Linked DNA regions of Sus scrofa. The main gene of each other region encodes a partner of the protein of the gene in region 3 in a complex. Links are inferred from orthologs where the notes say so. Each region holds a gene or a part of one and is shown on either strand. Other genes may lie near its edges. The genes, in order: ARRB1, LDLRAP1 and AP2B1.

Region 1 (3,899 bases), on a different chromosome or scaffold from region 3:
CAGGAAACCACGAGAGGGTGGCTCTTTCTGTCTCTGACCCCCACAGAAAGCTGGGAGATTTCACTGATCGAAGAATCAGAGTCTGAGAAACAGGAAACTTGAAACTCCAGATTCTTGGAGTGGAAAGGGAGCCGAGCAGGGAAATCTCGCCCTCCTCATTTGTGAGCTGGGTGGGGGCCGGCTCGTGGGCAGCAGGTCTGAGGGAGGAGACGGCCCATCCCCCTCTTCCCCCCACCAATGACCTGGACTCAGGAGGGTCTGGGGATCAGCCCAGGGGTTAAAGGTGACGCCCCCTGGCAGTGCCCAGAGAAGAGACACTCACCAGGCGGTGTTAAGTGCCAGCGCCCTGGCCAGCGAACGCTGGGGGACTGGGTGGCACGGAGCAGCTGCCCCAGTTTGCCCCCTGGGAGGGGGGGCCACCCAGGGGGCTTGCTAGAGGTGAGGCTTCTGGAATGGGGCCCCCGGGGGGCTGGCAGTCCCTGACCTCAAAGGTGAAAGGGTAGGCGTGCTCGCCCAGCTTCTTGATGAGGCGCTCCTGCAGCCGCGTCAGGGGCTTCTTGTCCTCGGGGGCCGGCGGGAAGGACTGCACGTTGGCCACAAACAGGTCCTTGCGAAAGGTCAGGCCCAGGACATCCAGGTCCTCCCGGCCGTATCGGAAGGCGCAGGTCAGCGTCACGTAGACTGCGGGGGCAGGGGACACTGAGGAGGGGCCGGGGGGCCGGGGAGCAGCCAACACGCGCCCCAGCCCTGGGACTGGCTCCACCAGAGGCATGGATCTGTCCCTGGGCGCCTCCCCGGGGAAGGGCGCGCTGCCCTTGGGACAGGGAGGGGGGGGGGCCGTCAGGGGCCTGGCCCCTGGGACGAGGCGGGGGCTGACTGCTGGGTCCGTTCAGCTTTCCCCACCCCTCCCAACCCAGCAGCCCAGGGCACGGGGGCGAAGGGGCTCTGACGGGTTCACAGGGGCCGGGAAGGAGCACAGGGGAGTGGAGTCGGGGGAAAACAAGCCTGGGTGGTGTCCCGAAGTCATGAGGGCTTGCCCCGCCCAACCCCTGCCTCCCGCCTTCCTGCTGACCTCGGACCATCCCTTCGCCCCCCCCAGGAATCAGTCTTCTCTTCTGGACAGTGAGTGAGGGCCTAACTCCTACCCTGTTTGCATTCCCAGCCTCCCGACAGCATGATGGATGGGTGGGTGGATGCCAAGGGCATTAAGAGGGTCTCCCAAAGGGGGCGTGGCCACGGCCGCCCAGCCAGACGAGGCCAGAGCACCTGCTCTGACGCTGGTTAGAGCTGTCAAAGGAAGAGCCAGTGGGGAGGGACAGGGACCGGCTTGCTGCCTCTCCTCCTGCCAGCGTTCTGTCTGGGAGTCAGGGAGGCCTTGGGACTGGGGGTTCTGGGGGAGGAGAGGCCCCCTGACAGGCTGGCGGGGGGACAGCTCACCTCTCCTCTCCTTGAGATACTCAGGATCCACCAGGACCACGCCATCTGCAGGAAAAACAGAGAGTGAGCAGACTTGACCTCTCAAACTTCTGAGCCCCAAAGACCAAGTTAAATTCAAACCCACCCATCTGTCTGTCCAAAAGCATCATGAAAAAGAGGCGGAGGCCAGCAGCTCCCAGGAGACGAGTCCACTATGCCCCCCACCCCCACCGAGGCCAGCCTCACAGACCCAACAGGTTGTTTAACTTGCCTTTTTTTTTTTTTTTTTTTTTGGCTTTTTAGGGCTGTACCTGCAGCATATGGAGGTTCCCAGGCCTAAGGGTCCACAGAGCCACAGCAGCCCGGGATCCGAGCTGCATCTGCGACCTACACCACAGCTCACGGCAACGCCGGATCCTTAACCCACTGAGTGAGGCCAGGGATCGAACCGGCAACCTCAGGGTTCCTAGTCGGATTCGTTTCCACCGCGCCATGATGGGAACTCTAAGGTTATATAACTTCTGTTTCTTCATCTGGGAGATACTATGCTGGCTCCCAAACCCCAATATCAAGCGGAAAGGCCACGGCCACACCTTCCACAGATTCTCTAAGGTCCTCGGCAGGCTCTGTGCCAAACCCCTTAACACCCCTGCAGCGACACGGGCATCTGTTCACCGAGAGGCGAAGGCATGAATGGCCTCCCCTCGGTTCAGGTCAGGTTTGCCGCTAGTGAAATCCTGTATCAAGCCTATGAGCAAGTTGCAGCGCTCTAAGATTCTGGATGCGGGATGTAGGGATCAGGCTTCTGATTCTGGGCTACGTACCTCACAGGGCTCCTGTGAGGACCACGTGAATTAATGTGTGCAGAGGGTGGGAGAGTGCCTGGCACAGGTGACCCCATGGAGAATGTCCCAAGGCCTGGCCTTGGGAAGGCAGAATCCAGCTGAAGACAAAGGATGTTTTCTCTGCCCAGAACCCCAGGAGACCAGAAAGACTGGTTTGGGGGCACTCCCTCGCCTGTCATCCCCCATCTAACCCACCACCACCCCCATCCCACACTGGCCCACAGCCAGCCGCTCAGAGAAGCTCAGAGGCCACATTAGGAAGGGAGGGCCCTGCGAGCTCCTGGTCACCACCCCCCCCACCCCCAGTGCTGGGCAGGTCCAGGGCACAGCTGGTCAAGGGCACGCCCACCCCATGTCCAGAGCCTGCCGGGCCCCTTCCCTCCTTTCCTGGGGGGTTTCCTCTGTGCCTGGGCGCCAGGGACTGAGCGGAACCCCAGGAGGGGGACCCTGACAAGGGCACTCCCCTAACAAGGGGTCCCCCGGAAGCTCCCTGGGGGAGGGAAGCTGGAGCCAGGGCGTAACGGTCATCAGTTAGATGACCAAGGGACAGCCAGCCCATGGTGGCAGCGACAAGAGCCTTGCTCTGAGGCTTGGAGAGCTGATCCCGGAGGCTGGCGGAGGAAGGAGGGCCTGGCCCAGACCTTAAACGTCCGGTGTGTGAGGCTGGGGCTTGGACTTGCCCCCAAGTTTGAAGGGCAGCCAGGGGGATAGTTAAGCATCGGGAAGAACTAACCAGCTCAGTGCTGTAAGGGAGAAAGTTCTCTCTGCGGGTCATTTGATCAGCTCTGGCGTGCTCTGCGATCCACAGGGCCTGGCATGAAACGGGTGCCCTGTGGACACTTGTCAAGCCGTTCTCAGGGTGCCTGTGTGCATTGGGGGAGCCAGAGCCCTCCTGCTCCTGCCCCTCCCCTGGCCCCTGCGCCCCCACCACGACCCTCAAAGGCCCCGGCTTCAGACCGCCTGCAGGCAGCCCCGCCTTGGAGCCGCCACAGGCAAACACAGAGTCCTGCCTCCTGCCTCCAAGTTCAGGGAGAAGGGGGCATCAGGCAGAGGGAGCAGTGAGCTTCAGAGGACACCTGCTAGGGCTGGAGAGGAAAAGCGGGGTCCCCCTGCTCCAGGCCATGAAGAGAGGGGCCTGGAGGACTCTGGAGCCCGCAGCCTGTTCAAGGACCCCAGGGACTCCCCGGGTCTCCTGCCCCAAGGTCACAAAGGCCTTCCTCCCCGGAGCCAAAGCCTGTCACTCTGCTCTCTCTGCCCCCTCCCCTGCCCGGGGGGCTCTGGGACCACACGCCACTCCTCTTGGCCCCAGCACGGCCCCCAGGGATGTGATGACAAGCTTGCTGGGAATTTTCCCCCGGGCGACACATCCCAATGTCTTCACCTGGAATGGGCCTCGTAAGGTTCCCAGGGCCGTTCTCCTGCCTGTCACCCTCTTCGGTCTCACTTGGGTTTGTCCCTGTCCCTCTTTAATCTTTACCCTCTCTGGGCCTCACCGTCCACATTTGTAAGACAGGGGTCATTCTGGGCCTGTGATCTTCAAATAGCAGGAAGAGGCAGGAAGATCGGGGCTCTTCTAATGAGAGCTAAGGTTCTTAGGGTCCCAACCGGGGGTAACCCCCCCCCAACCCTGCTGTCAAG
Region 2 (4,409 bases), on a different chromosome or scaffold from region 3:
GAGGGGATGGCCCTGTAAACAGCCTTCATTGCAGCACAGAGTTTCCAGGCTTGCTGGTTTACTGGGCCCATATGGTTCCCCAGGCCAGCTGGACGCCACCAGCTGCCCTTCACCAGCCAGCCCCAGGTGACTGCTTTTCCTTCAGGCTTCAGAATATCCTCTCTCTGCCCCAGGAATGAGCTGGCTTGGGGTTAGAGAGCTGGGGGTTCAGCCCTGCGGACTTACTTAGCCCTCACTGCAGCCCCTGGCAGGAGAAGACAGCCTGCTGGGGCGAAAAGCTGGAGAGAGGGAGGAAAGGAGGGAAGAAGGGAGAAAATAAACACTGACTATATTCCAACTCCACTTGGACTTCTTCCTAGGCATTTGGGATTCAGAAATGAATCAGAAAAACTGACTGCCCTCGAAGGACACAAAGTGCGACGGAGGCAAAAAGAGTAGAAACGGGCAACAACCACACTCAGGCCTGTGGCATCTCACCAACAGAAGAAGTCAGGCTATGGTCTGAATATATGTGCTCTCCTTTTGACTCCCTTCCTAAAGTCTGATGGGAAGGCACAAGATCCTAGAGAGAATTCTAAATATTGGACTTAGAACATCTGTGCTTGAGGAATTCTGAGTCCAGACTCCCACTGAAGTGCCTTCTAGCAAGCAGGGGACCGTCTGGGTCAAGGTCTGGCAGGTTGAAAGAATCGCTAGAGGTAGGATCTCATCTCACTTTACAGATAAAGATTAAGGCCCAGAGAGGGAAAGGAGTTGCCCGAGGTCACACAGCAAGGCAGCGTCAGAGCTAAGGCTCCTTTCCCCACACCTCAGAGCATAAGACTCAGGCCACACCACCTCTGAGACTACTTGGGGAGTAGGGTGGGCAGGGGGCAGCCCAGAGTGCCCAGATGGTGCCAGGGAGAGGCTGGGTCTGTTGGGTGAGTCAAGTGCCCAACGGGTCTTGCTAAGGCAAACTTTATATGTCTGCCTGCCCCGTTGCCAGCAAAGTTCTATCACGGTCAGCTCTCCTTCCAAGCCTCTCACTGCAGTGGGCGTCACCCTCTTCTTCTCTCCGCCCCTCAGTCTCCCCATCAGTGAAATGGTTTTCAACGACTTTTCAGCTGTCGAGAAATCTTAGGCCAGCGCCTGCCTCCCGCGACGGGTGCGGCGGGTCTCCAACCCTCAAGCTCCTCCCCGTGGGAAATAAGGAAGTTGTGGAGAGGAAAGAAAAGACGGGGCGCCTAGGACTGTCGGCTCCCGCCTCAGGGGGGGCCCTTGTCTGACAGCTTTGGGGAGCTAGGGCAAAGGCCCGGCGGGGGGGCCAGGGGCAGGGCCAGGGGCGGGGCCGGGCAGGCCCTCGCCCCGCCCCGTCGGACGTCGGCGCGGAGCTCGCACGGGGAGGGGAGGAGCGCGGAGCCCGCGCGCCGCCTGGCCCCGGCGGAAAGTTTTCCCTGACGGAGTTTTGGCGGTGGCAGCAGCAGCGGCGGCCAGAGCGGCCATGGACGCGCTCAAGTCCGCCGGGCGGGCGCTGATCCGAAGCCCCAGCCTGGCCAAGCAGAGCTGGGGGGGCAGTGGCCGGCACCGGAGTGAGTGTGTGCGCGTCCAACCGGGCCGGGCGGGGGCCGGGCGGGGGTCGGGGCTCGCGGACCCGCCTCCTGCGGGCCCCGTGGGGAGAGGAAGGGCCTGACCCGCGCCCCGCGGCCTGGCGCGACCTTGCCCGGCCCTGCAGGGTTAGGGGTCGCCAGGGGTCAAGTTGTATTCCCGCTTCTGTCCCTACTCTGTGCGGCTGGGGACGAGGGGAGGAGACCGGAGCTCGGGGTCGCCAGGTGAGGTCTGCAGTGTGAGGGGGTTGCGGGTCACAAGAACAAACTTGCGCTGCCCCAGCGTCTCCCCACCTTGGACAGCTAGGGGAGGCAGGAGCTCGCCGTCGGTACCTGGGGGAGGGGGAGGGGGGGCAGGCTTTTAGGAAAATGCCCCCATCCCGCACCCCTGCACTCGAGCCCGGAGGTCCGCGACTGGCAGGAGCCCACTTGGCAACCCCCACCCCACCCCGGTCCTACCCACGAGGCCATCTTTTGACTCCTGGGCGCCCAGAAGCCGACTCAGGTGTGAGCCTAGGTTCCCAGGTACCTACTTGAAGTTGGGGGTGAGGCTCAGCTTGGGGTCTCAGAAGATATTGCACACCCGGCTATCTAGGCCCCGTTGTCCCTTCTTCTGGTTGGGTCCAGGTGGCAGGGCTGAGATCCTGCTATTTTTGAAACCTGCTTTTGTCTCCCACTTTCCCCCTTGAGCTTCCCAAGTCCCTGGGCGCCCAGGGGAATGGCAGAGCCACCTCTCCCAGGGGCCCCTGGGAGCCCGGGAGGAGCCTCGCCCGCCTTCCCCTCCTCTCCCTGTCTCCAGTTACTCTCTGGGAACCTGGCACCTGGCACCTTCCCCTGAGGCCTGAGAAACCCAGTCCAAGTCCCTCGTTTTTCATGAGGAGAAGCGGAGTGGCTTGCCTGGGGTCACACCTGCCATCCTGGTAGATGTGGAGCCAAAGCCAGGACTCCTGCACACTCCCACTCCTCTGCCAACTGCCTTGGCCCCTGGCCTCTCCTGCACCAGGAAACTGCTGTCAGTATAGTCACACCCCACCCCCTTCCCTCTTTGCCTTCCAGGGCTCCACCAGGGGAGCCCGAGTTCCCCAGGCCCGGGAGTGCCAGCGTGTCTGGGCCTAGGGAGCCCGCCTGCCCCGCCTCTTGCCCACTCTGCTCTTCCAGCTGTGGCTGCCTTTTAAACCAAGACTGGCACTGGGAATGTGGCCTGGTGCCTGCTGGTGGGGGTGGGGTCAGAGACCATCAGGGCTGGAGCAGGTCAGGGATGCACCATCTCCCTCAATTATTGGCTCCCAAAATAGCTCCTTTAAATATTTGTGGGATTTGACCAAGACTTCTGAGAATGATGGCCTGTTCCAATGGGGGAATCCTGCAGTTTCCCTAGGGATAAGGGAAGGGGTGGGCCCTGGACACGGGAAGGATACTTAGCAGCCTTGCTCAGTACCGGGAAGGGGAGAGGTAGCCACCTTGGATGGTGGAAAAGTTTTTCCTTCCTTCTCTGGTTTCAGGCAAGTCACCTGTCCTTTCTGATCCTCAGTTTCCTCATTTGCAAAACCGGGATAAATATTCTCACCTGGCAGGGGTGTTGTGAAGGTTGTTGATAATGCTTCTGGTTGGTGGTTTCTTTCCCCCTCACTCCCCTTCCCCCTGCCTGTCATGTGGACATTCAGCGTAACTCTTAATGTAGCGGAACGAGTTCTGGGGGCTCAGAGCCTGCCTCCATCTTCAGAGAAAAGGAGAGGAGAGCCCCCCTTCTCTTAGGTAGCCCCCCCCCCCAAATCAGAGTGTTATCCTGGAGCCTTCTGGAACTGGAAAGAGCTGGGGCAGATCCCCACCTGTCCCTCATTATTAAGTCAGTTTTCTCACTTGTCAATAACAGTAGTAGCTGCCTCAGATTTCGTTGTTGTTGGGAGTTAAATCGTGTTTTGCCTGGCATAGAGAAAGAGTTCAATAAATGGTAACTACTGCTTTTGTCACTCTACCTTTTCCACAGTGTTTTTGCTTCCATTATCGCATTTGCTCCTGTGAGGTGACAGAGCAGGGGTTCTTATCAGACTCATTTTACAGATAAAGGAGCCTGAGGCTCAGGAAAGTAGGGTCATTGGCCCCAGCATGGAGTTTCCAAGAGCTAGCTCTGAATCCCTGCAGGGGTCTTATCAGTGTTGCCACATGGACTCTGGCCATGGAAGCAACTGGGGCAGGGCTGGTGGCCCCTGAGGTTGGCAGTGGCCACAGGTAGAGCTGGAAACTGTGGGGTGTGTCTGGGGTGGGAGTGCTGGAGCAGCCTGGCCTGCGGTGGTGTCTCAGCCAGGCCTTGGACCCATCCCTCAAGGTATGAGCCCTGTTGTTGAGTTTTGGGGCCAAACTGAAGCCAGAAGTGTTAAGGTTAGACTTGACACCTGCTATCAGCTGTGACTTGCTCCTCACCCCTCCAGGCCCTCAGCTGGGATTAACTTGATTATTGTTTTATTTGCAGAGAAACTGAAGCCCAGAGAAGGCCTTGCCTGAGGTCCCAATGCAAAGCCAGCAGTAGATAGTCTTCTTTGCACTGAACCTCATTATCCCCTGTCTCCCAGTTAGTCCTGACTTTGAAGGAGCGCTCACTCCCTCTCCCATGCATGGTTCCCTCCACCCCTGTCTCTTTGGGGGCCATAAATATTTTGTCTCCCTCCCTGCCTAGAGCTTTCCTTTCTTCCAGCTGCCTGGAAGGGTGGCTCACCCTGGTCCCTCCGTACCTTTATTTCCGAGAGGAGTCCCTCTGACCCTCGGGCTCCTCTATGGGTTGTCAGAAAACTCCCTGAGAATGGGGCAAGCATCCAGGATACAGATTTC
Region 3 (3,899 bases):
CCTGCAAGTCCCTCAAGTTGAGGGCTATCTGATAGAAGTACAGTGCAAGCCACATATGTATTTTTAAATTCTCTGGTAGCCACATTTAAAAAATAAAAAACAGATAACATTAATTTATAATAAGTAATATAATCTATAATCTAGTATGTCCAAAATAGTATAATTTCAGCATGAAACCAGTATTAAAAACTATGAATGAGGAGTTCCCGTCGTGGCGCAGTGGTTAACGAATCCGACTAGGAACCATGAGGTTGCGGGTTCGGTCCCTGCCCTTGCTCAGTGGGTTAACGATCCGGCGTTGCCGTGAGCTGTGGTGTAGGTTGCAGATGTGGCTTGGATCCTGCATTGCTGTGACTCTGGTGTAGGCTGGTGGCTACAGCTCCCATTCGACCCCTAGCCTGGGAACCTCCATATGCCAAGGGAGGGGCCCAAAGAAATAGCAACAACAACAAAAAAACCAAAAAGGCAAAAACTATGAATGAGATATTTTACATTGTATTTTCTGTATGAAGTCTTTAGAATTCATTGTGGTGGGGGTGGGGTTGGCTGTGCCTGCAGCATATAAAAATTCCTGGTCCAGGAATCAAACCTGCACCACAGCAGCAACCCAAACCACTGCAGTGACAACACTGGGTCCTTAACCTGCTGTGCCACAAGAGAACTTCCCGTGTGTATTTTATGCATGTATCACATCTCAGTTCGGACCAGCTGCATTGCAAATGCTCAGTAGGCTATGTGACTAGTAGCTGCCATTTGGAAAGTTTAGGTTTCTAGCTTTGTAGGTTGGTACTTAACAGTTTTTACCTCTAGAACTTGGACTCTTCTTGATGAGGATCTTCTTGATCTTGTGCAGGTTATTGAAATTAATTATTTAAGATCTTTAATTTACTCTTGGTTAATGTTTCGCATTTATTTACTGATTTTACTGTTTTACACATGAGCTATTCCCTTAAGAAATGGAAGGAACACTCATTTTTGGAAAGTGTTTATAGTGTTTGTTAAATATCTACATGTGCATGAAATTACACCAGGTACCTACATGCAAATAATTCGCCTTCCAGTGCAGAAGTCATTGGGTCGTTGGAGATAGGATGGATTATTTAACTGTGCATTCCATCTTCTTTTTTATAATTAATTCTATTTCTATATGTAGGCATACCTTGGAGATACCGAGGGTTCAGTTCCAGACCACTGTACTAAAACAAATGTCACAATAAAGCAAGTCCCACAAATTTTTTGGTTTCCTCGTGCATATAAAAGTTATATGATTTTACACTGTAGTTTATTAAGTGTGCAGCAGTAGCATTATGAATTTTTAAAAAGTATATACATCAGTTAAAAAATTATTGATTTAACCATTTTCTGACAATGTAGGGTTGCTGCAAACCTTTTTCTCATTTTTCCCTTTTTTTTGGCTGCATTCACGGCATGCAGAAGTTCCTGGGTGAGGGATCGTACACATGCCGCAGCAGCCACCTGAGCTGCTGCAGTGACACTTGTAGTGCTTTGAACTGCAAAGAATTGATATGAAGAATTACTGCTAGTTTTTGTGTGTGATATAGTGATTTAAAAAAAAAAAAGATTTCTGGAGTTCCCATGTAGTGCAGTAGGTTAAGGATCTGGCTTTGTCACTGCAGTGGCTCAGGTTGCTGCTGTGGTGTGGGTTTGATTCCTGGCTTAGGAACTTCCATGTGCTGCAGGTACAGCCCCCCAAAAAAAGGATACCTAAAGATGCACACTAAAATATTATATATGAGATATTATGTCTAGGATTTATTTCCCCCCTTTTTACAGCCACACCTGTAAGCATATGGAAGTTCCCAGGCTAGGGGTCAAATTGGAGCGCAGCTGCAAGCTTATACTACAGCTAGAGCATCTCAAGGTCTGAGCCACATCTTTGACCTGTACTGCAGCTTGCAGTGATGCTATATTGTTAACCCACTGAGCAAGGCCAGGGATCAAACCCGAATCTTCATGGACAGTATTTTGGATTCTTAACTTGCTGAGCCGCAACAGGAACTCTGTCTAGGATTTTTAAAAAAAATCGTTAAGAGCAACTAAATGAAGTAGGGACTGGGGGATTCTCTCAACTGAGTTGTATATGAAACAAGATTGGGTATGTATCATTACTTGTAGCTGGGTGATTGATACATCAGATTCATTATACTGCTTTCATAGTAAAATTTTTCTTTAAAATTTATTTTTAGACATCTTCTTGAGACCATTACTATTTTTTTTTTCATGGTGCAGTGACCGAAACTGTTGCAGTGATAATGCTGAGTCCTTAATCCACTGAGCCGCAAAAGAACTCCTATAATTTCTTTAGTAATTTATTTCTGTGATAATTATCACTGCAGGGAGATTTGTCCTTGCATCAAATCACTTTATAAATTAAGGCCATTTTGGAGTTCCCGCCGTGGCTCAGTGGTTATTGAATCCAACTAGAAACCATGAGGTTGCAGGTTTGGTCCCTGGCCTTGCTCAGTGGGTTGAGATCCGGCGTTGCTGTGAGCTGTGGTGTAGGTTGCAGATTCGGCTCTCATCCCGAGCTTCTGTGTTTCTGGTGTAGGCCAGTGGCTACAGCTCCAGTTAGACCCCTAGCCTGGAAACCTCCATGTGCCGCGGGAGTGGCCCTAGAAAAGGCAAAAAAGACCAAAAAAAAAAAAAGAAAAAGAAAATTAAGGCCATTTCTTTGTGTTCTATCCAACAGCTTGGCACAAACATCTGTTCATGTTCCCTTTCTCTCTTCTCAGCTCTCTGTTTCCAGATGTAGTGAATTGTATGCAGACTGACAACCTGGAACTAAAGAAGCTTGTGTATCTCTATTTGATGAACTATGCCAAGAGTCAGCCAGACATGGCCATCATGGCTGTCAACAGCTTTGTGAAGGTAACTCTTTCCCAGGGATTCAAGAGCAGTGTCTTTTCAGAAATGTCTCTTGATATAGTAAGTGTCTGCATTGCAAATAAGCAACCTCTGTTCCAAAAGAGAGCCTCTAGAGAAGTACTGGCAATGAGTAGGAATGTTCGTGTTTTAAGCATTCTGTGTGCCAGCGTTTGTCATCCAGTTCAAACCATATGGTGAGCCTTCTGTCAGCAGGGCTCGGTGCATTTTTGCCAGATGGGAGAAGAAAACCAGGTGAAACCTCACTGCTTTGCCTTCCAAGGCTAACAAAGGTTGAGCATGTCTTTGTAGTATCAGTATCTTGGGGCTTTACCTATTTTATCTCAGTAGAACTATGCTTATGGGTCAGAAGAAATGGAAACTGCAGGAACTGCTATTTAATTTTGTTTTATTCAGTAGGTCTTAGAACAGTTGATGAACTTTTTTGTCATTATGGAAATTTTCAAGCATCTTCAGGTAGAGGGAATAGAATAATAAATTGCTAAGTATCAGTCTTGTAGTTTCAATAGTCACCTGCCTGTGACCAGCCTTATTTAACTTATACTCTCCATACATGCTTCCCTGACTCCCCTCCTTTCCTACTGGTTACTTTTACAGTAAATCCCAAACATATGTAACTATAGTACCATTGTCACATCTTTAAAACCTGACCAGTAAGAAATTCCTTGGAATTCTTTTGCAACATAGCAGGGTTAAAGATACGGCATTTTCACTGCAGTGGGTTTTGTTGCTGCTGTTGTGTGGCCAAAAAAGAAGAAGAAGAAAGTAAATTTCTTAGTATTATTAGATATCAAGAGTCAAATTTGTCCTATCATTAGATTTGATAAACATAATAATGAGGTTGTTCGTATTAGTTTTTTTTTTTTTTTTTTTTTGGCCACATCCGCAGTACATGGAAATTCCCAGCCCAGGGATTGAATCCAAGCCACAGCTGTGGCATAGCTTGCGACACCAGATCCTTTAACCTACTGCGCCAGGTCAGGGATCAAACTGCT

What was found.
Region 1: the proteins of AP2B1 (region 3) and ARRB1 are in contact, whole or in part, in a crystal structure (PDB 2IV8), measured with the Homo sapiens proteins. The link is inferred for Sus scrofa from reciprocal best matches to the Homo sapiens genes AP2B1 and ARRB1. Residues at the interface, in NP_001273.1 of Homo sapiens: Arg834, Gln835, Phe837, Leu838, Trp841, Lys842, Asn846, Glu849, Ile876, Ala877, Arg879, Val881, Glu882, Gln884, Tyr888, Glu902, Arg904; in NP_004032.2 of Homo sapiens: Asp384, Asp385, Val387, Phe388, Glu389, Phe391, Ala392, Arg393, Arg395, Leu396.
Region 2: the proteins of AP2B1 (region 3) and LDLRAP1 are in contact, whole or in part, in a crystal structure (PDB 2G30), measured with the Homo sapiens proteins. The link is inferred for Sus scrofa from reciprocal best matches to the Homo sapiens genes AP2B1 and LDLRAP1. Residues at the interface, in NP_001273.1 of Homo sapiens: Arg834, Gln835, Phe837, Leu838, Trp841, Glu849, Gln851, Ile876, Ala877, Arg879, Val881, Glu882, Gln884, Met886, Tyr888, Glu902, Arg904, Ser915; in NP_056442.2 of Homo sapiens: Asp253, Leu255, Asp256, Ala258, Phe259, Ser260, Leu262, Ala263, Gln264, Arg266, Thr267.

The regions. Positions count from the first base shown.
Region 1 is NC_010451.4:9,540,150-9,544,048, forward strand, and holds part of ARRB1 (beta-arrestin-1), read right to left. Parts: intron 1,483-3,899; coding exon 1,438-1,482; intron 682-1,437; coding exon 485-681; intron 1-484. UniProt on the Homo sapiens protein: Functions in regulating agonist-mediated G-protein coupled receptor (GPCR) signaling by mediating both receptor desensitization and resensitization processes.
Region 2 is NC_010448.4:83,029,266-83,033,674, forward strand, and holds the start of LDLRAP1 (low density lipoprotein receptor adapter protein 1), read left to right. Parts: upstream 1-1,363; 5' UTR 1,364-1,480; coding exon 1,481-1,568; intron 1,569-4,409. UniProt on the Homo sapiens protein: Adapter protein (clathrin-associated sorting protein (CLASP)) required for efficient endocytosis of the LDL receptor (LDLR) in polarized cells such as hepatocytes and lymphocytes, but not in non-polarized cells (fibroblasts).
Region 3 is NC_010454.4:39,906,085-39,909,983, reverse strand, and holds part of AP2B1 (AP-2 complex subunit beta), read left to right. Parts: intron 1-2,753; coding exon 2,754-2,889; intron 2,890-3,899. UniProt on the Homo sapiens protein: Component of the adaptor protein complex 2 (AP-2). Adaptor protein complexes function in protein transport via transport vesicles in different membrane traffic pathways.